Oryctolagus cuniculus: one gene and its partners. The protein of the gene in region 1 interacts with the protein of each later gene in a pairwise test. Links are inferred from orthologs where the notes say so. Each region holds a gene or a part of one and is shown in the gene's direction. Other genes may lie near its edges. The genes, in order: RINT1, RIBC1, FAM81B, DCX, TXLNA, SH2D4A and FAM110A.

What was found.
Region 2: the proteins of RINT1 (region 1) and RIBC1 interact in binary tests that used the Homo sapiens proteins (3 or more experiments, as listed by UniProt). The two-hybrid records come from large-scale screens. The link is inferred for Oryctolagus cuniculus from reciprocal best matches to the Homo sapiens genes RINT1 and RIBC1.
Region 3: the proteins of RINT1 (region 1) and FAM81B interact in binary tests that used the Homo sapiens proteins (3 or more experiments, as listed by UniProt). The two-hybrid records come from large-scale screens. The link is inferred for Oryctolagus cuniculus from reciprocal best matches to the Homo sapiens genes RINT1 and FAM81B.
Region 4: the proteins of RINT1 (region 1) and DCX interact in binary tests that used the Homo sapiens proteins (3 or more experiments, as listed by UniProt). The two-hybrid records come from large-scale screens. The link is inferred for Oryctolagus cuniculus from reciprocal best matches to the Homo sapiens genes RINT1 and DCX.
Region 5: the proteins of RINT1 (region 1) and TXLNA interact in binary tests that used the Homo sapiens proteins (3 or more experiments, as listed by UniProt). The two-hybrid records come from large-scale screens. The link is inferred for Oryctolagus cuniculus from reciprocal best matches to the Homo sapiens genes RINT1 and TXLNA.
Region 6: the proteins of RINT1 (region 1) and SH2D4A interact in binary tests that used the Homo sapiens proteins (3 or more experiments, as listed by UniProt). The two-hybrid records come from large-scale screens. The link is inferred for Oryctolagus cuniculus from reciprocal best matches to the Homo sapiens genes RINT1 and SH2D4A.
Region 7: the proteins of RINT1 (region 1) and FAM110A interact in binary tests that used the Homo sapiens proteins (3 or more experiments, as listed by UniProt). The two-hybrid records come from large-scale screens. The link is inferred for Oryctolagus cuniculus from reciprocal best matches to the Homo sapiens genes RINT1 and FAM110A.

Annotation. Positions count from the first base shown.
Region 1 is NC_091434.1:138,802,863-138,806,362, reverse strand, and holds part of RINT1 (RAD50-interacting protein 1), read left to right. Parts: intron 1-626; coding exon 627-764; intron 765-2,254; coding exon 2,255-2,454; intron 2,455-3,500. UniProt on the Homo sapiens protein: Involved in regulation of membrane traffic between the Golgi and the endoplasmic reticulum (ER); the function is proposed to depend on its association in the NRZ complex which is believed to play a role in SNARE assembly at the ER.
Region 2 is NC_091453.1:37,533,130-37,536,629, forward strand, and holds part of RIBC1 (RIB43A-like with coiled-coils protein 1), read left to right. Parts: intron 1-2,668; coding exon 2,669-2,785; intron 2,786-3,500.
Region 3 is NC_091445.1:18,096,874-18,100,373, forward strand, and holds part of FAM81B (protein FAM81B), read left to right. Parts: intron 1-3,284; coding exon 3,285-3,500.
Region 4 is NC_091453.1:82,099,631-82,103,729, forward strand, and holds the start of DCX (neuronal migration protein doublecortin), read left to right. Parts: upstream 1-1,299; 5' UTR 1,300-1,812; intron 1,813-3,562; 5' UTR 3,563-3,584; coding exon 3,585-3,948; intron 3,949-4,099. UniProt on the Homo sapiens protein: Microtubule-associated protein required for initial steps of neuronal dispersion and cortex lamination during cerebral cortex development. May act by competing with the putative neuronal protein kinase DCLK1 in binding to a target protein.
Region 5 is NC_091438.1:140,273,197-140,277,422, reverse strand, and holds the start of TXLNA (alpha-taxilin), read left to right. Parts: upstream 1-1,426; 5' UTR 1,427-1,594; exon of another isoform or gene 1,595-1,621; intron 1,622-1,736; exon of another isoform or gene 1,737-1,951; 5' UTR 1,952-2,141; coding exon 2,142-2,307; intron 2,308-2,799; coding exon 2,800-3,138; intron 3,139-4,226. UniProt on the Homo sapiens protein: May be involved in intracellular vesicle traffic and potentially in calcium-dependent exocytosis in neuroendocrine cells.
Region 6 is NC_091439.1:3,452,112-3,455,611, reverse strand, and holds part of SH2D4A (SH2 domain-containing protein 4A), read left to right. Parts: intron 1-1,747; coding exon 1,748-1,949; intron 1,950-3,500. UniProt on the Homo sapiens protein: Inhibits estrogen-induced cell proliferation by competing with PLCG for binding to ESR1, blocking the effect of estrogen on PLCG and repressing estrogen-induced proliferation. May play a role in T-cell development and function.
Region 7 is NC_091442.1:26,831,807-26,835,806, forward strand, and holds the start of FAM110A (protein FAM110A), read left to right. Parts: upstream 1-1,200; 5' UTR 1,201-1,438; intron 1,439-4,000.

The DNA of each region.
Region 1 (3,500 bases):
TGGTATTTCTGCTGTTGGTAAGATCTTTCTGGTTGTAGTTTTTATTAGTCCACTTTTTGTTACATTAACTAAAATACCTGAGAGGAACTTCCTGGCAAAGAGAAGGTTTATTTTAGTATACAGTTTGGAAGTTACAGTTGAGGCAGTCCCATAGCCTGGTGTATGATGACAGGTGTGGTGGAGTGATCGCATGGTGAGCCAGGGAACAGAGACAGAACAGCTAAGCAGAACTTGAACTCAAATAATCAACACTCTCGGAGAACCACACTTTGAGAACATCGCATCCCTGTCTAAACACTTCCCACCCCTCAGATGCCACAATTGGATCAAGTCTCCACTCAGCCTGTCAGCTGTTAGCAGTAAGACATCAGTGTTTAAACATCTGCTGAGTTTGGGACAGACAGGTCCTACTTAGCCTGTACCATAGTTTGTCTAGTCAGCATAACACTTTGGAGTTTTGGGGTTAGGAGGAGTAAAATATCTGTTTAAAACACAGCATGATAAATATACTCCAATTAATGTGAGATTGTTTGTAGAAAGTTATCATTGATTAAGACATTGTGAGCTGAAAAATTAGGAATTCCTGCAACTACCTATTTAGCATAATCTTTTTTTCTTCATGTCAGTTGCTCTTCAAAAAATGGACTCAATGCTTTCATCCGAAGCTGCCTGGGTATCCCAATATAAGGATATCACTGATGTGGATGAAATGAAAGTTCCAGACTGTGCAGAAACTTTTATGACTCTACTCCTGGTTATAACTGGTAAGTATACATTTTTATTTTTAAAAAATTTTGATAGGTGGAGGGACAGAGAAAGTGTTCTCATGTGATGATTACTTCCCAAATGCCCTCAATGGCTGGGATTAGGCCAAGCACAAAGCTAAGAGCCGGGAACTAAATCCAGGTCTCTAGAATTGTAGCAGGAATCCACTTGAGCCATTGTTGTTGCCTCCCAGGAGCTACTTTTTTTTTTTTTTTTTTTAAAGATTTATTTATTTATTTGAAAGGCAAAGGCAAGAGAGAGAGAAAAGTCCTCTGGTTCATTCCCCACATGGCTGCAATGGCCAGAGCTAGGCTGGTCTGAAGCCAGGAGCTTCTGGGTCTCCCATATGGGTGCAGGGGCCCAAGCACTTGGGCTATCATCCACTGCTTTCCCAGGCACATTAGTAGGGAGCTGGATCAGAAGTGGAACAGCCAGGAATCAAACCGGCACCCAAATGAGATGACAGCACCGCAGGCAGTGGCTTTACTCACTACGCCACAGCGCCAAGCTTATATAATTTTTTAAAAATTCATTTATTTGAAAGACAAAATGACAGAGAGGAGGGAGGGAGAGAGAAAGATCTTCCATCCAGTGGTTCACTTCCCAAATGGACACAGCAGCTAGGTCTGGCCAGGCTGAAATGAGGAGCCTGGAACTCCACCTGGGTCTGGTACTTGGGCCATTTTCAGCTGCTTCCCCAGGTGTGATAACAGGGAACTGGATCAGAAGCAGAACAGCTGGGATTCATACTGGCATCCCTATATGGGATGTTGCCATCACAAGCAGTGGTTTAACCTGCTGCACCAGAGTGCCAACCCTCTTTTAAATTGTTTCTTAAATATTCTATATAATTTTTCATGTATCTTTAAAAAAATGAGGTTTAGGGGCTGGCGCTGTGGCATAGCGAGTAAAACAGCTGCCTGCAATGCCAGCATCCCATATGGGCGCCGGTTTGAGTCCTGGCTGCTCCACTTAAAATCCCGCTCTCTGCTGTGGCCTGGGAAAGCAGTTGAAGATGGCCCAAGCCCTTGGGCCCCTGCACCCACGTGGGAGACTCGTAAAAAGCTCCTGGCTCCTGGATTCAGATCAGCACAGGTCTGGCTGTTGGGGCCATTTGGGGAGTGAACCAGCGGATGGAAGACCTCTCTCTCTCTCTCTCTCTCTCTCTCTGCCTCTCCTCTTTATGTAACTCTTTCAAATGAATAAATAAATCTTTAAAGAAAAATCAGTCAAAAATATTTAAAAAATTAAAAAATGAGGTTTAACTTATATAAGGTGAAATGCACAGAAATTAAGTATACTCTTCAATGAGTTTTAACAAATATATGTACTTGTGAAACCCATATTCTTAGAGAGTCAGAATTGGGAAAATGGGCCCATACTTGAATGACTTTTTTTTTTTTGGTTAGGCATTAACGCAGGTCAATAGGAAAAATCTGTAACTGTGCCTTGGATCAAAAGTCTTCATAAGTCATAACTTTCTCCACAGACAGGTATAAAAATCTTCCCATGGCTTCCCGTAAGCTGGAGTTCTTGGAGTTACAGAAGGACTTAGTAGATGATTTTAGGATACGGTTAACACAAGTGATGAAAGAAGAGACTAGAGCTTCCCTTGGCTTTCGATACTGTGCGATTCTTAATGCCGTGAACTACATCTCAACTGTACTAGCAGACTGGGCTGACAATGTTGTGAGTTAATGTGCTTTATTAAGTAATACATTAGTAATTTGAACTGTTTTCCCTTTCAAATGTTGAATCTCTTGAAAGCAAAATATGTTACAATCACAATGATGCCAAACTTAAAAAGTATGATTGAAGTACATTATTTTGCTTAATCAACCTCAAATAGTTAAACAATCCTAAAATTTTAGAGTACTTAAGCACTGTAAAAAAGCAGAAGCCGTTCATGAAAAACTTTATACAATGAACCTTTTGCCTCTGTGGACTTCACATGTGGGAAATATTCATGCATGGCAATCACTGACAAGGCTAAGATTAAATCATGATGTCAAAGTCAATAAAATTCAAAACTTTAAGGAAAATAGAATAATACTTCATACCTCTCGGATGTGTTCATAATATAACAAATTATGAAGAATCATAAATATATTAATTTATGTATCTTATATTCAAATATATACAAATATAAATAGAATAGGAAAATGAACCCATTTGGCTATTACCTAGCTTCTTCTTTTTTTTTTTTTTTTGACAGGCAGAGTGGACAGTGAGAGAGACAGACAGAGAGAAAGGTCTTCCTTTTGCCGTTGGTTCACCCTCCAATGGCCGCCGCGGCCGGCGCGCTGCAGCCAGCGCACCGTGCTGATCCGATGGCAGGAGCCAGGAGCCAGGTGCTTTTCCTGGTCTCCCATGGGGTGCAGGGCCCAAGCACCTGGGCCATCCTCCACTGCACTCCCTGGCCACAGCAGAGGGCTGGCCTGGAAGAGGGGCAACCGGGACAGAATCCGGCGCCCCGACCGGGACTAGAACCTGGTGTGCCGGTGCCGCTAGGCGGAGGATTAGCCTAGTGAGCCGCGGCGCCGGCCCTATTACCTAGCTTCTTACAAAAATTTTGTATTTTTTTTTTAACATTATTTATTTACTTGAAAGGCAGAGTTACAGGAACGAGGTAAGAGAGAGAGAGAGAAAGAAAGATCTGTACCTGCTGGTGTGCTCTTCAAATGGCCACAACAGCCCAGGCTGAGGCTAGGAGCCAGGAACTGCATCCAGGTCTC
Region 2 (3,500 bases), on another chromosome or scaffold:
CATGCCACATGGATGCTGGTTTCAGTCCCAGCTGCTCCAGTTCCTATCCAGCTCCCTGTTAATGGCCTGAGAGAGCAGCGGAAGATGGCTCAAGTCCTTGGGTTCCTGCACCCATGTAGGAGACCCAAATGGAGTTCCAGGCCCCTGGCTTCAGCCTGGCCCAGTTTTGGCCTTTGCAGCTATTTGGGGAGTTAACCAGTTGATCCAAGATCTCTCTATGTGCGTCTCCCCCTCTCTCTCGGTAACTCTGCCTTTTTTTAAAAAAAGATTTATTTTATTTACTTGAAAGACAGAGTTACACAGAGAGGTAGAGACAGAGAGAGAGGTCCTCCATCTGCTGGTTCACTCCCCAGATGGCCGCAATGGTGGAAGCTGCGCCGATCTGAAGCCAGGAGCCAGGAGCTTCTTCCGAGTCTCCTACACGGGTGCAGGGGCCCAAGGACTTGGGCCATAGCAGAGAGCTGGATCAGAAGAGGAACAGCCGGGACTAGAACCGGCGCCCATATGGGATGCCATCACTTCAGGCCAGGGCTTTAACCCGCTGCGCCACAGCGCCAGCCCCTCTGCCTTTCAAATACATAAAAATAAGTTGTAAAAAAAAAAGTCAAAAGGCAGACCACATCAGTCCACTGCTCAAAACCTTCCAACAGCTGCTCATTTTCTCAGTTAAAGCCAAAGGCTTTATAATATAAACTGCATGGTCTGGTGCCCCGTCATCTTTCTGACGTCATTCCTCCCCACCTGTCTTTCACTCGGTCTCACCAACCACACTTGCCTGGTGCTGAGGCCTTTGTGCTTGCTGTTCATTCTGCCTGGAATGCTTTCCTCCCAGATATTTGCATGGGTGATCCCCTTGCCTTCTCAGCCATGGTGCTTCTCATTTCCATAAATTGCAACACTCCTCCATCTCCTTGGTGCTGGCTCACTCGCTCTCTCCCTCTCTCCCTCCCTCTCTCCCTCCATATATATATATATATATATATATATATATATATATATATTCTATATTTTCCTATATCACTTATCATCTTACAAACTAACATACATTTTTGTTTTACTCTTTATTATCTGTCTGCCTCCACTAAAAAGCAACCTCCAAAAGAATTTGGATTTTTGGCAGTTTTGTTCTTTGTGGTCTCCCAAAGGCTTACAGAAGTGTCTAGCCACTAGTAGACACTCCACAGGTATTTGTTAAATGGTGGTGCAGTGAACATTGAATGAGAAAAGCACGGTGCAGAAGAATATGTACAGCCTGATAATTTATTAAAATAAAAAAAAATTTAAATATTGTCTAGAGATCCATACGTATACTCAGAATATTAATGAACACAATGGAATGGTAACACATTTTGGCTGGTGTCTGGGGTACTCTTGGAGAAATGGCTCATTACTTGCGGCGGATAGAAGATACCTCTCTCGCGCGCTTTCTCTCTGCCTCTGGAGAGTTGGTTCATGGGTCTCTATTTTCATGCTTCCTAACTGACATATGGGTTGTATGTATTTTCCTGTGTGTATCAACTACTTGATAGTCACAAAATGGTTTCAAAAGCAAACAAACACACCAGAATAGCTATGGAAGGAGTTGAGGAATGATGTTGCAAACACAGAAACACCACATAGAAAGGCCCTGAGGTGGGAACAGTTTTGCTGTGTCCCTGGGCTTGGTAGGAGGCCCCTGTGCCTGGGGCACTAGAGACAAGGTAGATAGTGGCATGAGAAATCAAAGGAACTGGATCTTGAAAGTCCACAGTGAAGAGTTGGGCTCTTATTCTAAGTTCAATGAAAGACTTTAAGTAGGTAAGAGATATCATCAGATTTGTTTGCAGAGTTTCTTCTGGCTGCAGCTTTGGCTGGCTCACAATGCCACAAGTGAGCTTCTGAAAACCTGAAGGAACAAAGGTAGATATAAACACTCTATCCTTTCGTTCCACTAGAAAATAAGTCACAAAAGTACAGGGTTGGGGGAATTGATTAGAGAAAAGAGAGCTGCTTCTGGTTTCTGTGTGATGAGCAGGCTATAAAGAAGACAACAGAGAGAGCAGGAAAAGCAATGTGGAGACTCTTGTAGTCACTCAGGAAGGTGATAATGGGGGCTTGAAGGAAGAGGGAGCAAGAGGAAGAATTCAAGGATGCTTCCGGGATTTGGGGCCTGAGCAACTAGGTTAATGGTGATGTCATTTACTGACACGAGGAAAACTCATTAGATCATAATGAAAAGGGGGAAGTGCTATCTGTGCTTTTGAGGCCTAGAAAAGTGAGCAGGGCTCAGATGATGAAGAACCTTATAGATCCAGTAATGGGGAACTGGACCCCGCCTTGTAAGCACCATGGAGCCGTTTACTCGAAAGCTGCTTTTGAAGGTTTTAAGCTGCGGAATGGCACAGTCAGGTTTGCTTTCGGAAAGATCACTCAGGTAGCCTAGCTCAGATAAAGCCAGTGCAGAGAGGGTGACCATGGGGCAAGGAAGGCCAGTGAGGCTCTGGGAATGTTGCATGATACCACTGTGAGGCCTGAATTAGGGTGGTGATGACAGGGATGGAAAACAGAGATACGAAGTATGCTGGAAAATCAAATCACTAGGAAGCGGTAGGGTGAGGAATAGAGGGTGGAGTATACTCAAGGCTGGGGGCTTGCACTGATGGGCCATTCTACTTCCCCTTTTCTCCAGATGTTTAAATTAGACTTCCCATCCGATCCCAAGGAAGTGGCAGCCATTGAGGCCAGAAGAAATAGAGAAAAAGAGCGACAAAGCCGATTCTTCAATGTGCGGAACCGAGTCATAGGGGTAAGTGGGCAGTAGGGCCACTTCATCTTCTACCCGGAGAGGAATGCAACAGCGCCTGTCATAGCCCTTTCCCTGATTCAAACAGGCCCTAGGGCTGGAACGGAAGGAGATGGGGAGAAGGCATCACCACCCCTACCCCAGGCCCAGGGCCTGGTATAGCACAAGAGCCTGGGGATGGCAACTGACTCTTCCCAGGTTAGCTCTGGGCTGTGTAGCCTGGGTTTGAGCCAAAAGAGGCCTGAAGAATATTCAGTATTGTATATGCCTGAGCCAGCTCTTTAAGGCTACATAAAAAACTGTTTACCAGGCTGAGGTACACTAAACAGTATTTCCTGTTGTACTATTTGGAAATGTTTTAAATGAATCACGATCAAAAAATAAAGACAAAATACCAATAATGTAAGAAACAAACTAAAAGATGGCTGGGCGGGTGGATAGAGGAGGATTCAGCATGGGATCTTCTGGAAAAACCACCATACCCCTGTTCAAAGCCAGGTCTGCTGTTGGATAGATGTGACTTTGGATAAGTCACCCGCCGTCTCTGAGCTCCAGGCTCCTCCTCTGTACAAGGAGGTAAAATAAAGGAAGTGTAGCAATGAGTCTTAACAAGGTGCACTCCTCAGGGTTTGCTCTGTGCTGACCACTGTGTTGGGCAGTGGGGATACAAAGATGAATAAGGCCTGGTCCCTGCCCTGAAAGGGCTCTCCGCCTGGCA
Region 3 (3,500 bases), on another chromosome or scaffold:
TTAAGACTGGGAATAAGAGAAGGAAGAGATGTACAATTCGGGACATGCTCAAGCTGACTTGCCCCAAATGGTAGAGTCAGAAACATACCAGGGGATTCCAATTCAATCCCATCAAGGTGGCATGTTCCAATGCCATCTCACTAGTCCAAGTGATCAATTTCTGTTCACAATTGATCATAATGATACGACTAAGAGTTAAAGGGATCACATAAACAAGACTAGTGTCTGCAAATACTAACTGCTAGCATAAAAAAGGGAGAGAATGATTCAACATGGGAAGCGGGATACACAGCAGACTCATAGAATACCAGATGTTGGCCTGCGGCACCGGCACACCAGGTTCTAGTCCCGGTCGGGGCGCCGGATTCTGTCCCGGTTGCCCCTCTTCCAGGCCAGCTCTCTGCTATGGCCCGGAATGCAGTGGAGGATGGCCAAAGTGCTCGGGCCCTGCACCCGAAAGGGAGACCAGGAGAAACACCTAGCTCCTGGCTACGGATCAGCATGATGCGCCGGCCACAGCGCGCCAGCCATGGCAGCCATAGGAGGGTGAACCAACGGCAAAAGGAAGACCTTTCTCTGTCTCTTCCTCTCTGTCTACTCTGCTGGTCAAAAAAAAAAAAAAAAAAAAAAAAAAAAGAATAGCGATGTCCTAAACAACACTCTGGCCTCAGAATCAGCCCTTAAGGCATTTGGATCCAGCTGAAAAGCCCGTGAGAGTATTTCAGGTATGGAAAGCCAAGACACTCTGGCAAAAAACAAAAACAAAAAAACAAAATAAAACAAAACAAAACAAAACAAAAAAAACAAACCTAAATGAAAGATCTCCACGAGTGCACGAGTGAGATCCCAGTGGAAAGAACAGGTCATCAAAGAAAGAGGTACCTTTCTCTGAAGGGAGAAGAGAACTTCCACTTTGACTCTGACCCTGTCCAAATATGATCAGAGTCGGCGAACTCAAAAGGCTTCCATAGCCTTGGCAACTCATGACAAGGGCCTAGGGTGATTACTGACGCCATAAACAAGAGTGTCAATTTGTTAAGTCAACAACAGGAGTCACTGTGCACTTACTCCTCATGTGGGATCTCTGTCCTTAATGTGTTGTACATTGTGATTTAATGCTATAACTAGTACTCAAACAGTATTTTTCACTTTGTGTTTCTGTGTGGGTGCAAACTGTTGAAATCTTTACTTAATATATACTAAACTGATCTTCTGTATATAAAGAGAATTGAAAATGAATCTTGATGTGAATGGAAGGGGAGAGAGAGCAGGGGGTGGGAGGGAAGTTTTGGGGGCGGGGGAGCCATTGTAATCCATAAGCTGTACTTTGGAAATTATATTCATTAAATAAAAGTTAAAAAAAAAAAAGGTTTGTTAGTATCAAGATGTCACTGTAAAGCTCCTAAAGTGAGAGTGAGAGTTTATAAGTACCCCCCTCAAAAAAATTAATGATATCTCCAGAAAAATTCTACTTCCTTAAGGGAAAACTCAGTAATACGTGTTTTCAGACATATGACTACACTCATGCTTTGAGATTCTCCATATTGTTAGCAAACACATCAGAGGCTGAGAAATTCGCTGCTAAATACTTCTTCCTCGGCTGGTTAGCTCACTTGCCTACAGCACTGTGTTATTATGGAAAGGAAAATTATTCTGCTTTCACCAGACACCAAGGACGAGTCCCAAACAGTAACCCATCCTTCTCAACTTAGTCACAGGCTAAGTAAGGTAACATAATTTTTTTTTGTGAGAAAAGTTGGAGTCAGGGAAAGGCTCAGCATTTCATCTATGTTGCAACAGGAGAGCCTGAAACTCACTGTTCACCCCTCCCATTTCTAGGCTCCCACGGTTCTCTCATTCATTTGCTCTTTCGCACCTGACCACAGTGGCTTCAGTGAGGTGGAAAGGCTACCTGCAGGGGGCTGAAGAGGTCCAACAGAGACTATGCACAGACTCCTCTCCCTAAGTTGTGAAAAAGCTGCAAGAGGACTGGTTTTCTTTGCTTTTTCTTTTTTTCATTTGTTAGGTCTTTCATTACTTATAAACCTTATTTTGCAGCTTACATCAACAGTTAATGTGTTTTAGTCTGATAATCCTTAAAAAGAGAAATGATTGGGGCATAGCAGGTGAAGTTACCACCTAGAACGCCAGCATCCCACATGGGTGCCAGTCTGTGTTAATTCCCTGCTAAATGCCTAAGAAAGCAGCAGAAGATGGCCCAAGGGTCTGGGTCCCTGCCATCTGCACAGGAGACTTAGATGAAGTTCCTGGCTTCGGCTTGGCTTAGCTCTGGCCATTGTGGCCATCTGGGGAGTGAACCAGTGGATGAAAGATTCTCTTTCTCTCTCTCTCTAGATCTCTGTAGCTCTGTCTTTCAAATAAATAAAATAAATCTTTTAAAAAAAATCCCACAAGGGGGTGGCAGTTAACAATATAATCACACATACTTTAGTCTGGTAATTTTTCTGATTGCCTCATCAAAAAATATAGCTCCTATCAAATGTCTAAAATATGCTTCTCATTTATAGATGCTCCTTATTATGGCAAGTAGTACAAGAATAGTGAAAATTCCTATGCAGATCAAAACCTCTTACAAAACAACATATATCTTCATACTCTGAAATATCTTCTTGACCAGAGTATGACTATTTTATCTGAAGTAACATACGACACAGCCAAACTCCACAATAAACAAACGGGGACCGTTTCCTAGATTTTGTGATGCGATCTGATTACTATATAATGAAAGGCATATGACTGAATTTTATATCTGTGTTTGGGGGTCTAACAATGACACTGATTAGCTGTCTGGCAGTTTTTCCTTTGGGAATTATTTTTCTATTAAAGAGACAACTGAACAGATGACAGCTGAGATGCCAACTAGAAGTGGCATTTCATAGGTCTACAATGTGAGGATTCTAACTACAGGGGACTCCATTTCTAAATACTGATTTATTCCTAATATTAAGTGAACAAGCCCCTTAGGGACTTTATAGTATTCTAAAATTTAGATTTTCAGCAAGGGATATAAGCATTAGCTGGAAGATATTTATTCTGTCACAATACAAAAGAATGGCTGCTCCTATTAAGTCTTCCCAGATAATCAGCGACCCAAATTCCCTATGAAACAAAGTGTGACTCCAGGATAATATCCAAAGCACAAATCTAAAAATCTTAAAAATATAGCTTGTTAAAAATTAAAATAATTCTTGGTAGCACAGAATCATTAGTCTTTTCTCCATTTTTTTCCCATTTAGTCCTAAATTCTTTGGATTATCTTTCAGCTACTGAAAAGACTCCTTGGAGAAACATCTATCAAAAGTATACTTTCTTTGATCAAAGATTCACAAGGTTGGACAGCCAACACATGGAACAACAGGCATGTCTACTCGCACTGGACTTCAAGGACAGGTCTCAAACAGGCACTCTTCTTTACCACCCAATCTCTGTCATAAGCATCTTCCGTAATGGCTCCGCTTCCTTGATGTATGTATTTCTCC
Region 4 (4,099 bases), on another chromosome or scaffold:
TTTAATGAATGATTATGATATGTAAGAAAGTACTTTTAAGACATTCACCTCACTGAAATTTCCTATTTTCCTGCACTTATTTTTTGATATTTCTATCTTTCTGATCTGAATAATCCTGATTTTTCAAGTGGTTGCAAGAATGTAAGGCAACAATACATGGAAGAGATCAGTGTGCACAGATGCATTCCACTGAGATACTTACATAGAAACAAAGAGAGCAGCAGCAAGGTGTTGGGAGGACTTCAGCAGGCAGGTTGCACACTTGAAGTTGTCCACTCATCTAATACGGATAGCTTATGCTTTGCTGAGCCAACACCTTCCAAGGAAGAAAAATGCTCATTTTTTTTAATCTCACTTGGTGGCAGCTTACAGTAAAACAAATTCACAGAAAATGCTTAAATATGAAAGATTAACAGATCTATATAAAGGGGTTAATTTACTAAGAATCAGACATATAGTAATTGCTGAGTGTACTTTTTACCTCTGAGCTTCCTGGAAGCCAAGTGAAAATGAAACCATGATAATTCAAGGCTGCTACACATTAATTAATGCACAGAGTTCAGTTGTGAAGACGGTAGCCCACTTTTCACTTAGCCTCTCATCTTTCTCCTCTTGTCTCATAGTTTGGTCTGATCTAATGAGTTTAATTTGGATGCTTCTTTGTCTTTTTAAAACATAGGTGATGTAAAGAATCCAGTTAGTTACAAATAGGCAATTTGAAGAGACAACTCTTAACTTGTAGTCACTGGACTCACTTCAAAGAGAAACATGTCTAGGTTAGGTTTGAACTCCCAATTCTTTTATTTTTTAAGATTTATTTATATTTATTTGAAACACAGTGTTAGAGAGAGAGAGCGAGAGAGAGAGAGAGCGCTTTCATCTGCTGGTTCACTCCCCAAATAGCTGCAATGGCCAGGGCTGGACCAGGCCAAGTCCAGGAGCCAAGAATTTCTTCCAGGTCTCCCACGTGGGTACAGGGACCCCAGAATTTGGGCCATCTTCTGCTGCTTTCCCAGGCCATAAGAGAGAGCTGGATCAGAAGAGAGCAGCTATGACAAACCGGTGCCTATATGGGGTGCTGATGCTGCACGTGGTGGCTTTACTTACTAGGTCACAGCACAGGTCTCTAAACTCTCAAACGTTTAAAGGTAAAAAACACAGATTTCATTAACCAAATTGTTATAGTTGCCTAAAAGTCTTTAGGGATCCTTTTCAAATCTATCTTCCATGAAATTCTGGAACTAATTTCTCTTGTATGGACTCTTTCCTACTCCCTCTTAGTCTACTCCACTTACCTCATTTGAAAAATGACCAGTTGTTGGATGCATGAATTAAAATGCCTCAAAATTCACAGATTTGATTATTTTATTTCAAGAGCGTAAAAAAGGAGAGAGCTACAATTTTAAGAAGCCTGGTTTGGTGGGTTGAGCCTGGCTTCCAGGCAGATTAGGTCAAGGTTTTGGCTAAGAGAAATTGCCAATTTTCTAAAAGAAAGGGCTAGCACATTGCTCATTAGAGCATAGTGAATTTGCCTGTGCAACCTTTTTGCTACCCTGCAATTTCCTGTTGGTTATAAATGGAACTTAGCTGTTAATGCAGCCTGTGAATTGAGAAAAAAGAATGTAATTAATCATAGGAGGTTGGGGGGATTCACTAAGCCTGAGTTACAGGGGAGAAGCTGGACAAGGCACTAGGACCTAGAAGGCATCTATCCACCCTGGCAGGAATTTCTTGCTTGGAGCTCAGACAACAAAGGCATAGAGAGATTGGTTTTCTTTCTCTCAGCATCTCCACCCAACCAGCAGAAAACCGGTGAGTGGGGCTTTCCAGTTATTTTCAAGCAGAATGTAACAGATGTCAAACGGGAAAAGCACAAGAGCACAAGGCAAAGCGTGCTCTCTGTCCCTTTCTCTTTCTCTCTCTTTCTCCTCCTCTCCTTTTTGCTTTATTCTGTCGGATTTTTCCCCTTAAAGCTCTACCTGGGATTTTCCTTTGGAAAGTAAGTTTCATGTTCCTTTGTTTTCACTTTGCTGTTAATTTAGAATAATATCTCTGATGGTAAAGCAAAGCAAAGCGTTACTGGCAGGCTGGGAAATGCTTGCTGCTCGTGTTGAGGAGGTGGGGTCTTACCACTGCAGGTTGTCTGACAGAGACAATGCTGAGCTCAGCATAGGTCACGGTGACATTGGAAAAAGGGAGGGGGGCGTCTAGCGTGGCAATCCCACTAGGCACCAGTCTCCCTTTATCTCTTGTCCTCCGGGTCCCTTGCAAATACCTCCATGTGGCAGTGTGCAGCAGCTGAGCCCTACTTGCTTTGTGAGTCCTTTTATGCCTATCTGTGAGATGCATGCTAATAGTTTGATTCCTATGTCACTACCTTTGCTGGCGTTTGGGGCTTTGGTTGTATTTGGCTGGGTGTTTTCATTGCATTTTTGTCTTTTGAGGTTTGGTGGGGGGCTTCTGCAGAAAGGAAAAAGCAAAGCCTGACAGATATCCCTCTTTTTTTTTCTGTAGCTAAATCACCTGGGCAATAGACAAGTTGGGGGTGAATTGCCTGCTGTGAAACCAAAAATGCCCCTTCATTCAGTGTAGAAACCCAGAACAATGAAAGGTGTGCTTGCTTCTAAAGGTCCCATATGCTGTTCCAGGGACTCATTTGGAAATCTTGAAACAATTAGATTATTATTTCATTAAGAGGTGTTGCTGCATCTGAAGGGAGGGGATGAAGCACCTGGGGAAAAAAAAAAAACACAAACAGGATTTTGTGACTAAATGGTATCAAGGGAAAGCAGAGCTAATAACTTGTTAAATGACTGCCTTTTCTAAACCGTTTTCTCATCTTATTTCTTGTGCATGTCAGAGCTCTGCACCAGCTTGGTGGGGGAAAGGGTTTGATGAATAGCACAAAGACACTGGCTAGTCCCTGGAGGCTGTCCCTTTAAAAGAGAATCCCAGTTTGTTCTGGGGGGGAGGGGATGCGCACATTAGAGTAAGAAAGAGGGTTTGGAATAAAATTAAAAGACTCCCCTTCATAGTCATTGTGCTGAGATGCAAAGACCCCTTCCAAAGCTGGAGATGCTAACCTTGGCTAGCTCCTTCTGTTCTCTGAGGGGGAATTTTGTCAAGCTATGGATTCATTTACAACTGTTAGTCATGTGGGCATGTGTGAGGAAACAGATGCCAGTTTTAATGTATTTAGCCCGAAGTTACAATATGATAGGAGCCACTGTCAGTAGTCTCAAGATTTTACGCTATTTCAGGATCCCTCCCTCTCCTGTGTTTGGAACCGTGCCCAAAGTGCCTCCCTCTCTATCTCTTACTCCCAACCCCCACACCCACCAGCACCCCTGCCCCGCCCCTCCTTCTTCTCTATTAAGATCAATATTCCTGCAGGTCAGGGCAAGCAGCAGATGGGTCACGGGCTTTCTTCAACCAGTTCTTTTCACAGGCAGCAGATTGCAGACCTGGATCTGGCTAATATTTGAATCTCTTTCTCTTTTTTTCCCTCCTTGACCCCTTTTCTTTGCCTCTCTTTACCCCTACCCCTTTCTCCAACACTCAGGTTTCTGAGGTTCCACTGAAATATGGAACTTGATTTTGGACATTTTGATGAAAGAGATAAGGCATCTAGGAACATGAGAGGTTCAAGGATGAACGGGCTGCCTAGCCCCACTCACAGCGCCCACTGTAGCTTCTACCGAACCAGAACCTTGCAGGCACTGAGCAATGAGAAAAAAGCCAAGAAGGTACGTTTCTACCGCAATGGGGACCGCTACTTCAAGGGGATTGTGTACGCTGTGTCCTCTGACCGTTTCCGCAGCTTCGACGCCTTGCTAGCTGATCTGACTCGATCTCTGTCTGACAACATCAACCTGCCTCAGGGAGTGCGTTACATTTACACCATTGATGGATCCAGGAAGATTGGAAGCATGGATGAATTGGAGGAAGGTAATTCAAGTAGTGGGTGCTGGCTTTTGGTGGGAGGTGCTCTCATTTGTTATGGTTCCATTCTTAGATTTCATGGAAAGAAATTAGGAAATGTAGTTGTTAATGCATCAGGCTGTTGCTCAGACTTCTGATTTTATAGGCATCAATAGAG
Region 5 (4,226 bases), on another chromosome or scaffold:
TCGGGACTAATCTGGTTAACACTAGGGAGCTGCAACAGTGGCAGAGCACTGGGAGGGTTTTGATGTGCTCTTTGAGATGGCTCTCAAGTTTGTTGTTTATTTTTGCCATAAGTGCACTTTGGAAGAAAAATAGCAAGCATCTGCAAAAACCTGAGAAACCCTGTGAATCATAAAAGTAGAGTTGGAGCAAAAAACCCAAGATTGGATGGAAGAGGCAAAAGCCAAACCACGTAGGCTCTTCAGATTCCAGGTGCAAAGAGTACTGGGTTTTATTCCAACGTCTATAAGCAGCGGTGATAAAGAATTGTGACCTCGGGGCTGGTGCCTGCAGTGCCGCCATCCCACATGGGCGCCAGTTCAAGACCTCCTAGCTGCTCCATTTCCAATCCAGCTCTCTGCTATGGCCTGGGAAGGCACTGGAGGATGGCCCAAGTCCTTGGCCCCCGCACCCAGTGGGAGACCTGGAAGAAGCTCCTAGCACCTGGCTCCTGGCTTCGGATCGGCGCAGCTCTGGCGGTTGCGGCCAATTGGGGAGTGACCCAGCGGATGGAAGACCTCTCTCTCTCTCTGCCTCTCCTCTCTGTGTAACTCTGCCTTTCAAATAAATAAATAAATCTTTTTAAAAAATTGTGATCCCACCTTTGGAGAAAAATCTGGCCTTTTCAGTTTTAGCCCTAGTACCACAAGGACTTTGTACAAAATGGGACGAAGAAGTTTCAGGAATGGGCCTGAGGTCAAACACCCCTGCAGGGACCCCTCTGCCCCTTCCTGCGGGACTGCCGAGCTTATTGGGGGGGGGGGGGGGTAACTACCTTTCACAAGTTACCCGGGCTCTTGGAGAACGCCTGCAATGGTGATTATTTCTTCTGAGTAAAAGGCAGGGTAGCGGAGTAGTCAGGTTCTGAACCACTGCTCGAACCCAGCATCTGTGACCGTGGGCGAGCTGTCTAACGCGAGCCTTACAGCCCTCTTCCGTTAAATGGGAATGACAAATAGTACTTATCTCCAGCAGCTAGGAGGCCAGGGCTTTTAAGAGACCAGGGAAGCACACGGGGTGTGCTCAGAGAACCGCTACGGTCACTGAAAGCCTGCGTCAGAATAAGGAAATCGAGGCAGGGAGAGAAAAGAACGTCCAGTCGCGTGGCACCTAGGGATGAAGTCGGACCTGGAACACAGGCCTGCCTCCCAGCCCAGGCCTCTCCGGAGTCCCCGGACTGACGGAGTGTGGACCGAGGCACGCGGGCGCAGTGAGGCTGGGCCGCACAGGGCTTCTGCACGACACCGGCGAGGTTGACGTGGAGGTTTGCTCAGAACCACCGGCTCCCCAGCCCTCCGGAGTCCGCGGCTCTGAGGACGAGAGCATCCTGGGAGTTGTGTCGACCGATGCATGGTGGGACGTGTAGTCCGCTCCTGTCCCCGCCCTCCCGATGCACCCGCCTTGGAGGCCGCCTTCGCTCCCGGCTCCCGGCAAGCTCCGCGCCAGCGCCGGCTACTAATTGGCTGTGGCTCGGACAGGCGGCTCTGCCGGCAGCGGTTACCCAGGGTTTCCGGTGCGAGGCCAGCGCTGGGGACGCGGTCGCACGTCGCCCGTGAGGTGAGCCCAGCGGCGGGACGACGGACGGTGAGGGCCTGCAGACCTGGACACTTTCGGCCAGCGGGGAAATTGCTCCGATTTCTGCGCGTGGGCGGCGGCGGGGGTGGGGGGAGTCGGGGTGACGCTGTGCGCATGCGCGCGACTGGAGGGCGCGCGGGGCGTGGGTGGCTGCGTGCGCGCGGGCGCGGGAGCCCACGTGGGACCTGGGGCGCGGGGGGAGGGGTCGGAGTCGAGCGTCCCGCCACGTCAGTCTGCGGCCGGGAGCCAATCCCGCGCCGGGCCTGCCGTGAGGGGCCGTGTGGGGCCGGGAAGTGGCTTCGGGGGGAACAAGGAGGCCTCTCTCCTCACCCGCTCCAGGAGCAGCGCCCCGGAAACCCGCCGGGGTGCGCCAGGCCCCCTGACCGGCCGGACAGCGGGAGAACCGTTGGCTCCCTCCGTTGAAGGTGCGCCTGGGCTGTGATTTCTGATCCAGGCTGCGAAGAATTCTGTGGAAAATAGCAACTGTGTTTCTCAAGGATCCAATCCCAACCTAAGGTGGCAGCGCACAATGAAGAATCAAGACAAAAAGAACGGGGCTGCCAAACAGCCCAACCCCAAAAGCAGCCCGGGACAGCCGGAAGCAGGAGCGGAGGGAGCCCAGGGGCGGCCCGGCCGGCCGGCCCCCGCCCGAGAAGCCGAAGGTGCCAGCAGCCAGGCTCCCGGGAGGCCGGAGGGTGTGTGCCAGCTCTGCGTTTCCAGCCGCCTGGGGGAGGAGTTCGCGGCCCGGCCCAGGGAGGAGGCAGCGGGGATGTGGAGCATCCCAGGCTCTGGGGAGGGGAGGCCCTTGCAGGCTTCTCGCAGGTGGCCGGCACCTGAGGCCTCAGCCAGTGACGCCGGGTTCCATCCGAAGGACCTCGGTCACCAGTGTGGGTCACTGCCCTTGGTTCGTTGTCGAGGCATTTCTGGAGCTGCTTGCATAGCAAGCGGGGGCTTTTAGAGGGAGGGGAATGGACGAAACATTGAGTTGCCTGCCTCCTGCGACATGGCAGTCCCAGGTGCCGTACGTACTTATTTTATGCTTGAACAAACTGTATTGGGGAGGTTGCGAGAATTAAGTAAGCTGGGGCAACCTTAAACCTGAACCAGTGAGGCTGGCTGGGCTCACGATCCCAGGTGGTGGTCTAACCTTGCCGTCTGTCGCTGCCTCTCGTCCTCTCCTGCCCTAGGGGCTCAAGCCAAAACTGCTCAGCCTGGGGCGCTCTGTGATGTCTCTGAGGAGCTGAGCCGCCAGTTGGAAGACATACTCAGTACATACTGTGTGGACAACAACCAGGGGGCCCCGGGTGAGGATGGGGTCCAGGGTGAGCCCCCTGAACCTGAAGATGCAGAGAAGTCTCGCGCCTATGTGGCAAGGAATGGGGAGCCGGAGCCGGGCACCCCAGTAGTCAATGGCGAGAAGGAGACCTCCAAGGCAGAGCCGGGCACGGAAGAGATCCGGACGAGCGATGAGGTCGGAGACCGAGACCACCGGAGGCCACAGGAAAAGAAGAAGGCCAAGGGTCTGGGTGAGCAGAGGGCAGCTGCGGGGGGCTGTGGGGAGGGCTTTGCACCTGACATTCCTTGGGCTGTGCAGCAGGGAGTCTCCCTGGTTGATTCAAAGCGCAGGGTATTCCAGCCACAGGCCGGAGTCGTTCAGGTTGGGAGCAAGTGAAATGGAGCCTGATCCTCATGGACAAAGCGGAGAGGTTTGGATGGGCTCTGTACCTGCCCACACCGCTTCGTCCCTGCTGTGTGACCTTGGGCATGTCCTTTCCCCGCCCTGGGCAATAGTTTCCAGTTCTCTACAAGGAGAGGATTGGGCTAGGCCAAAGTTGCAAACGCAAACGTCTGTGTAAGCCAGGACCGAGGGAGGGCCTGCTTTCTGCCCAGGGTGGACTGCAGCCTTGTTCCTTGAGTGCTCTGCACTGTGCCTGCTGCCAGCTCGTCAGTTGAGAGCGTGTTGAACCTCAGACTGGGTGCAGCTGGAATTTTATTTTCTGTTAAGAAAAGCCAGAAATCAAGAGTCTGGTGAAATCTGTAGATTTCAGTAGTAGAAACCAAACAAAACCCATGCATGAGCCGGGTTTGGCCTGTGTGCCAGTGATTGGCATCTCTGTGCTGGTGTCTTCGGGCCTCCGCAGGCTGAGCAGCCTGGAGCCTGGTCAGCAGCCCCTGGGGAAAGGCCCCCCACTGGGCACAGGCAGTGGGGAAGTGGCAGAGACGGTTTTTTGACAGCAGAGTTCGTGTCTGTTAAGAATCTGGGTTAGATGACATTGGACTTGTGTCCTAGTCCCTGTCTCGCCGCCCTTCCCCCGCCCCCAGCACTTGTCACCCTAATTGAAAGAGGAACTTTTTTAAAGAATCATGGGAACACACATTGAAGGTCTCTTCATTATAAGGTTCCCTGTTTGGATGCCTCGTACACAGGGCTATAGATTTCTCACGGAGGCCAGGAGACCTTTTCGGATCCTGCTTCTCTGGGAAGGCCCCACTTTGCATTGAAACAGTAGCCCTGAATTTGCAGGTGGGATACCTTTTATCTGCTGGGAGGCAGACAAGCTTTTCTCCCACCAGTGGTGCCCCCCCCCCCCCGAAGGAATTCCAAGAGGTTTTG
Region 6 (3,500 bases), on another chromosome or scaffold:
CTTGCACCCATGTGGAAGACCCAGACATGATTTCAGGAGGATCATGGAAAATGGAATTAATAGGTAACTTTGGGGCGGGCGTTGGGCTGGCTGTTGAGACAGTGTTGAAGATGCCCACACGCCACATCAGAGTGTCTGAGTCCGACACCTACCTCTGACTCCTGCCTGCAGCTTCTTGCTCATGCAGACCCTGGGAGGGAGCAGGTGATGGCTTGTGTAGTCAAGTGCCCACTGCCCACCTGGGAGACCCGGATGGAGGTCTGCTCCTGGCTTCCACCTTGGTCCATCCTGAGCTGTTACAGGCATTTGGGGAGTGAACCAGATTACTATCTGTCTCTGCCTCTGTCCCTCTCGCTGTGTCTAAAATGAATTTTTTAAAAGATTTATTTATTTATTTGAAAGGCAGAGCTACAGAGAGAGAGAGAGAGTCTTCCATCTGCTGGTTCGCTCCCCAAATGGTTACAACAGCCGGAGCTGAGCTGATCCGAAGCCAGGAGCCAGGAGCTTCTTCTGGGTCTTCCACATGGGTGCAAGAGCCCAAAGACTTGGGCCATCTTCCACTGCTTTCCCAGGCCATAGCAGAGAGCTGGACCGGAAGTGGAGCAGCCAGGACTTGAACCAGCACCCATGTAGGATGTTGGTGCTGCAGGCAGCAGCTTTACCCACTGTGTCACAGCACTGGCCTCTCTAAAACGAAGTTCTAAAAAGATACATTTAGTGTAGAATGAGAAGTTAGCAATCCATGCAGAGGTGCTAAGCTGCTGAAGAGCCTGCTGGTTAGCTTCCTCCCTGCCCGTGCCCCAGCCCTGGCTCCCCTCTGAGTGAGCACTGCCAGAGACGAGTCTCAGGACAGGACCGCTGATGGCAAGGAAAGAGAGCAAGGTGCTGGAAGATGCTAGAAGCATGGTGGTTTGCCAGGAACTAGGCTTCCCATGAGGCACGGTGCCCCGGGGGGTCCCTGGAGGCCAGTGGAGGCAGGGCCCAGAAGAGGCAGTCTCGGCTGCGCATTAAGAATCCTGAACTGGTCTGCAGCCCAGGACGACAGAAGCCATCGCAGCGACCATGTTTGTGAAATGAAAATACGCGCAGGTTCCAACCGGTGGCCATCTCGTGCTGTGTGGTGGCATCCCAGCACCCTGGAGGGTATTTGGTTTCTCTGAGGTGCACCAGCCTGACAGGGCCTGGCCGGTGATGCCCACAGAGTCAGTGCCTGTGGTGAAAGTCAGCAGTGGCTCCCGCATCAGAGGCCGTAACACTGCATGTGCTAAAACAGAACGAAAGGCCCTCCGAGTCGCCACGCAGCGTCAGAAGGCGGCCTGGGCGTGTGTGTTGTCCGCCAGGCCCTCTGGCCGTGCTCACTTGGGCTGGGTGTGACCTGGGCCCTCCTGCCCGCTGGACCTCTGCTGGGACGCAGGGCTCGCTGGGCCCCGTGCAGAGGGCGTGAGGGACGTGGCAGAGGCCTCTGATCATTCAAGGCCTCGCCCGCCTGACCCTTGCCCCGTGTGCACCCTCTCCATCCCTGCCTCACCCCTTCTTCTTCCTCTTCCTCTGGGGAACCCCCCCCGGCCCCCACGCAGAGAGGAGAGTGAGCCCTGAGGCTGGTCGGGATAGCAGGCGATGGTGGGACCGCGCAGGGCTCTGAGCGCCCGGCAGAGTCCGTGGCTGGCTGGGGGCCAGCGCTGCCCCCTCGCCCCGGCCCTGTGGGCTGGCTGACAGGCACCTGGCCCCAACCCCTTTCTTTTTCTAGTGCGAAAATCCAAAGCGGCCGACGAGAAGAGACGCTCCCTGGCCAGGCAAGCTCGGGAGGACTACAAGAGGCTTTCCCAGAGGGGAAGGAGTGGCCAGGGGCAGCAGAGCCCCTCGAGCGTCCCCCAGAAACCGAAGAGACCCCCCCTTCCGCCGAAGCCTCAGTTCCTGAGTGCGGCCGGGTGTCCTCCGAAACCACCCAGGTAAGAGGTCACGTGGAGAAGCGTGACAGGGTGCATGCACTCGGGTGGACCCACCTTACCCCGACCCCTGCACCGGCCGCCTCATGTAATCCAGCCTGACCTTGACCGCTCTGCCTGGGGTTCCTGATCCTGCCTTTGTTCCCTCTGACCCCGGTTGTTAACAGGGACTGATTATACGATGGTCCCCCCACCCCCCCAATAGCCTAGTATTTAGAAAGAGAATGTTTAAAATCGGAGCTGCCCACAGCCTTGCCTTCTAAACTCCAAACTGAGAATCCTGGAACTGAAACAAACGGGTCTCCCCTTGCTTGGAGCCGGTGGTGATCTCAAGGCCTCTTGAACATGGGGCGGGGACGGGGAGCAGTGGCCACAGAGGACATGCAAGGGTGGACCTGGCTGTCCAGTGTCATTATTTCTGTTGGCCCAGGGCATGTGGGCACCAGCGCTGAGTGACCACGGTCTCCATCGTGGGCCTTTGGGGGATGCTTGTCTTGTTTATGGACAACGAGACAAGAAAGCGGTGAGGGCATGGAGGGGAAGCTGTGAATTTTTCAGCGGGTCGGGAAGGTGCGTGGGCTCCTGCACCCACCACTCTGCACCAGCTGCCTCGTGCTCACGTGGGCACAGCGCTGGCCAGATGTCCCTCTCCCGCGGGTTTGCAGAGCAGTGTATTTGACAGCAGCAAAGGCGGCCTTGTGGTCCCTGCTGGGCTCGGTTGGCTCATTTTCCCAACGGAAGACGCCGCGTGGAGAGCTTCTGGAGGTTCAGGCCAGCCGGGGTCAGGGCTGGGGTCTGAGCAGTGCTGACAGGGGCCAGCTGGAGGCCAGTCTTGGGGAGAGACAGAGACCGGCTCCTCTTGTGCCTTCAGGGTTTTGCCTGAACTCCAAGGACTTCCCAGAGAAAGAGAACCTACTTGGGAAGCTGGTATGGGAACTCAGTCTACAAGGTCACACGTGTGCAGTGTTGGCGTCCCAGGAAAGTTAAATGCCATAGGCCGCTGCCTCCAGACTGCTCTGAAAGCAATGAGGGCCATTGCCATAGACACACAGATGTACATGTCCCGTGTCTGTGCATGTGACATGTATGTCACACATGACCGACAGCAGCCTCTCCTTCGCTCCTATAAAATGCCTAAGAGGCCCATCCAGATTCTTTGTCACTTTTTAATTAATTTATTTATTTTTATTTTTTGACAGGCAGAGTGGACAGTGAGAGAGAGAGACAGAGAGAAAAGTCTTCCTTTTTTGCCATTGGTTCACCCTCCAATGGCCGCTGCAGCCGGCGCACCGCAGCCGGCGCACCGTGCTGATCCGAAGGCAGGAGCCAGGTGCTTCTCCTGGTCTCCCATGGGGTGCAGGGCACAAGCACTTGGGCCATCCTCCACTGCCTTCCCAGGGCACAGCAGAGAGCTGGACTGGAAGAGGGGCAACCGGGACAGAATCCGGCGCCCTGACCAGGACTAGAACCTGGTGTGCCGGCGCCGCAAGGCGGAGGATTAGCCTAGTGAGCCGCGGCACCAGCCATCACTTTTTTTTTTTTTTTAAGATTTTA
Region 7 (4,000 bases), on another chromosome or scaffold:
CCCAAACAGTGACTGACAACTATCAAATTTCTATCAAAGGGCCTGGAGGGTGAATTTAGTCTAGTGCCCTTAAAAATGTCTTTTTTTTTCTTTCCCCCTCTTGACAAGTCCACGTGATGGACTTTAGGAAAACCCGCAAAGCCCTGGCTTTGTGGTACAGTGGGTTAAGCTGCAGTTTGCAATGCTGTCATCCCACAGCTGGAGTGTTGGCTCAAGTCCTGGCTACTCTGCTTTCCATCCAGCTTCCTGTTAACGTGCCTGGGAAGGCAGCAAAAGATGATCCAAGGAGTCGGGCCCCTGCCACTCACATGGGAGACCAGGATGGAGTTCCTGGTTTCTGGCTGCTGCCTGGTGCAGCCCTAGCTATTAAAGCCATTTTGAGGACCTCTCTCTCTCCTCTCTCTCTCTCTGACTCTGCCTTTCAAATAAATAAAGTTTTTTTTTAAAAAATGTACAACAAAAACATTCAAATAAAAAGAAATTAACTACTATTATTATGTGATTATGCATATATACATATTGCGGTTACATATAATATGTATGCATAGGACTTTGAAGCAACTTTTAATAATTCAACATTCCGTTAGCATTTCACCATATCTTTAAATATATTTTAAGTGCATCATTTTGGTGGCTGCATACTGTTCCTCACCAGACCGTGGCGAAGGATGTGACGCGGGCCCTGCCGCGGTTAGGTTACACGAAGCCACTGGCACAGCGTGCATTTGCGTAACCAGACCTCCTGATAAGCGCTGCTGTTTCCGCATCATCTCACTAAGCCGACTACTGCTGGGTTACTACTGACATTTGCTCAGTTTGGAGCCACTTCCTTTGCAAATTTCGGGACGGCCGGATATGCAAGGTTTTAGAAAGACCTCTCTTCTGACGGACAGGGACAGGTCTGCGGTCACACAGCAAATTAGGGACAAAGACAGGACTAGGAACCTGCCCGAGGCCCCGACTAGTGCCATTTCCAGCTGGATCCCCAGAGGAAGGCCTAACCCGAGAAGTAGGGAGAAGACAGGAAAAGAGCCAGGCGCCAGCTCCCGCAGCCGCCGGGAGGACACCGGGCCGGCAGGGGCGGGGCTGTGAGTCGCCTCCAGCGCGCAGCCGAAGCTAAGCGGTCGCTTGGCAACCTGGGCGCCGCGGCGTTCGAACGGAAGCGAGGAACCAATCAGGAAGTCCGGAGCGAACCATTCCGGGGAAGTTGCGGGGTGGGGAGCGGCGGGCCCACTTCCCTTTCCTCCGCGACCCGGGGACCTTCGCTCCGGGGAGGCCTTCGGAAACACCGGGACACCTGCGCGTCTCAGGTGCCGCGCGCAGCTCCGAAGAGGCTCCTGCGGGTCGCCGCGCGGGGCTGGGACCTGCCTGCGTTGGGCGCGGCCACCCCCGGCCCGGGTCCGAGCTGTCAACCTCACACGCCTAGCGCGGGCTCCAGGTGAGCTCGGGGGTGGTCCCGGTTGCGAGCCCGGGTGTTGGGAGTTGCGTCCGCCCAGCGCTCCCGGGCGTCCTCCCCGCGTATGATCTGCGTGCCATTTCAGATACGGAAGCTGAAACTCAGAAGGACGAGGGTCCTAGGCCGTCTTTTTTTACCCCTGCGCAGCCGCTAAGGCTAGGCAGGTGCAAATTTGCCTTGAGAGGCCCAGAGGTAACCGGCGGTTGCTTTCCCAGTCTGTCCTCGGCACGGATACGGCCCTTGAACTCCTGGCTGGATTACCTTGCCCACTCGGCACCGTCCTCAGGAGACCCAGCGCGCCTGGGGCCCTTCTGCTGTCGGGGGTTCTGAATCCCAACACCCCCTCCCAGGGCCCTCTTTCTGGGGATGGGAGGGGACCGACGTTTCCAGGATAGATGCCAAGTGGGCAGTAGATTCTTGAACCCTCGGAGACGCTGTTGTCTTCTTGGGAACCTGCCTGGGGTCGGGAGAGGGGTTGAAGCAGTCCCTAAACACTGGGGGTGGGGTTGGGGCTGGGGCCCTCCAGGTGGAGCCTCTGAGCTGGGCCAGACCCTGCTCTGCCTCCTGGGGACCCCTCTCCCTGCACCTGCTCTTGTTGGTCTCCTTTGGTAGGTGGGGGAACAGCTTCCTCCTTGAAGGAGGTAGGCTCCTTGCCCGAAGTCACCTGGTCCATCTGGCTTCAGTCTTAGAATCCTCCACTCAGAGAACTGCAGAATTCGAATCCTGAATCTCATCACAAGAGAGTTACTTATTCTCTTCCCTTCTGGACCCGTTTCCTGGCTTTGGGGAGAAGAGCTCAGAAAATTCAGAAAGAAAAGCCTTTCATCCATTCCTTCCACAAATAGTTATTTATTTTCATTTTATTTGCAAGGCAGGGAGACAGACAGAGAGTGATCATCCATCTGCTGGTTCACTCCCCAGATGCCCACAACAGTCAGAACTGGGCCAGGCTGAAGCCAAGCGCTCCGAACTTCATCCAGGACTCCCACGGGGGTGGCAGAGTCCCAAGCACTTGTGCTACTTCCTAGGGCGTGGGTGGGTACTTCAGTATGGGCTGTGGGTGTCCCAAGTGGCGGCTGAACTGCTGTGCCCAGTGCCTGCCCTCGGGAAGTGGTTGTTGACTGCGTGTCCTACCCTCCCCTGATGTCTCATTTTCCTCGTTTGCTCTGTCCTGTGTCCTATAAATTCTGCTTGCTAGCGAGTTGATTATCTTCTCCCAGTAGAAGGCGATGAAGGTGGGGGCTGGGAGGAGGCATGCATCGCTGGCACACACTTCCTGCGGTGGCCGTGATCTCCGTCATGGAGTTAAGTGAAGTGAACCGGTGTGTTCCCCTGGTGAGGCACAGACTTGTGTGGCTCCTGGGGCACGCGGTCCTATCTCTGCTGCAATCGCCAATGCATCCCTTGGCCCCAGCCGCCCCATTTCAGGCAAAATGTAGGCGCAGTGACGCTGCAGCGTGGTTGGTGACAGTGGCTGTCAGTGGGGACCAGGGAAACAAATGGGGGGGGGTACGCTCTGTCTACTGACGTGGCAGCAAGAGCAACATACTGTGCGCCAAGGAAGAGCAGGTGAAAACAGTCTACGCAGCGTGGTGCCATGTGTGTACAAAGGAAATCATTAGTGTTCATACTTGCTTGGTTTTGCCTAAAATTTTTCCGGCCCCAGTGGTGCCTGTGGGGGGTGGTGGTAGTGAGGACAGAGGTGGAGGGAGTTGTGTTTTTTTTTTTTAACTTTATTTCCTTTATAGTTTGAATTTTGAGCCATGTGCATGCATTACCTCATTGAAAACAATAATCATACACACACACACACACACGTGTCTCATGAGACCGTCACTCTGTATGACTTGTCTCTGACTTGCTGTGTGACTTTGGCAAGTTTCTTCACATCTCTGGGCTGAGATGAGAAGCCAGGATGGTGAGCTCAGGTCTGAGCAGAGGGCAATCTAGGCCGTGAAGTGGGCTTGGCTGTGCGCCTGCCTCAACGGCCAGCCTCCGCATCCTGGGCCGGGCCCTTCCCCGAGGCCCTGTGTGTGGTGTCTCTCGTTCCATTCCCACTACGAGCCCCTCTGTCCTCATTTTGCAACCTCTGGTGCCAACTGAGGCCCGGGAGATTGGGTCCTTGGGGGCGGGCATGCGGGCAGGCCAGGCAGGAGTTCAGTGCCCTGGGCATCCACACCCACACCCCTCCCACAGCCTGCTCGGCTCTGCCTTCCTGAGACGAGGGCAAGGCCGGCTCCTGGGCAGGCCAGGGCACGAGCGTCTGGGAAGCCTCCAGAAATAGCTTGAGGCCTAGCGTGGCCTTGGAGGACGCCCAGCCGGGTGTCTCTGCCCTGGACAGCTGGGCTGAAACCGAGCTGCGGCTGCTACTGCTTGGAGCCTTGCTGATCCTCTGCTGGGGCAGGCGAGGGCCTCACCGTCTGCACCCAAGGCCAGGAGAGAAGCAGGTGGAAGGAAGGGGAGGGGCCTCCTGCCCACTCCACAGAGGACCAAAGTTCCCAGCACCACTTGAACGCTGACTATGTGCTAAGCACTTGACAAGTG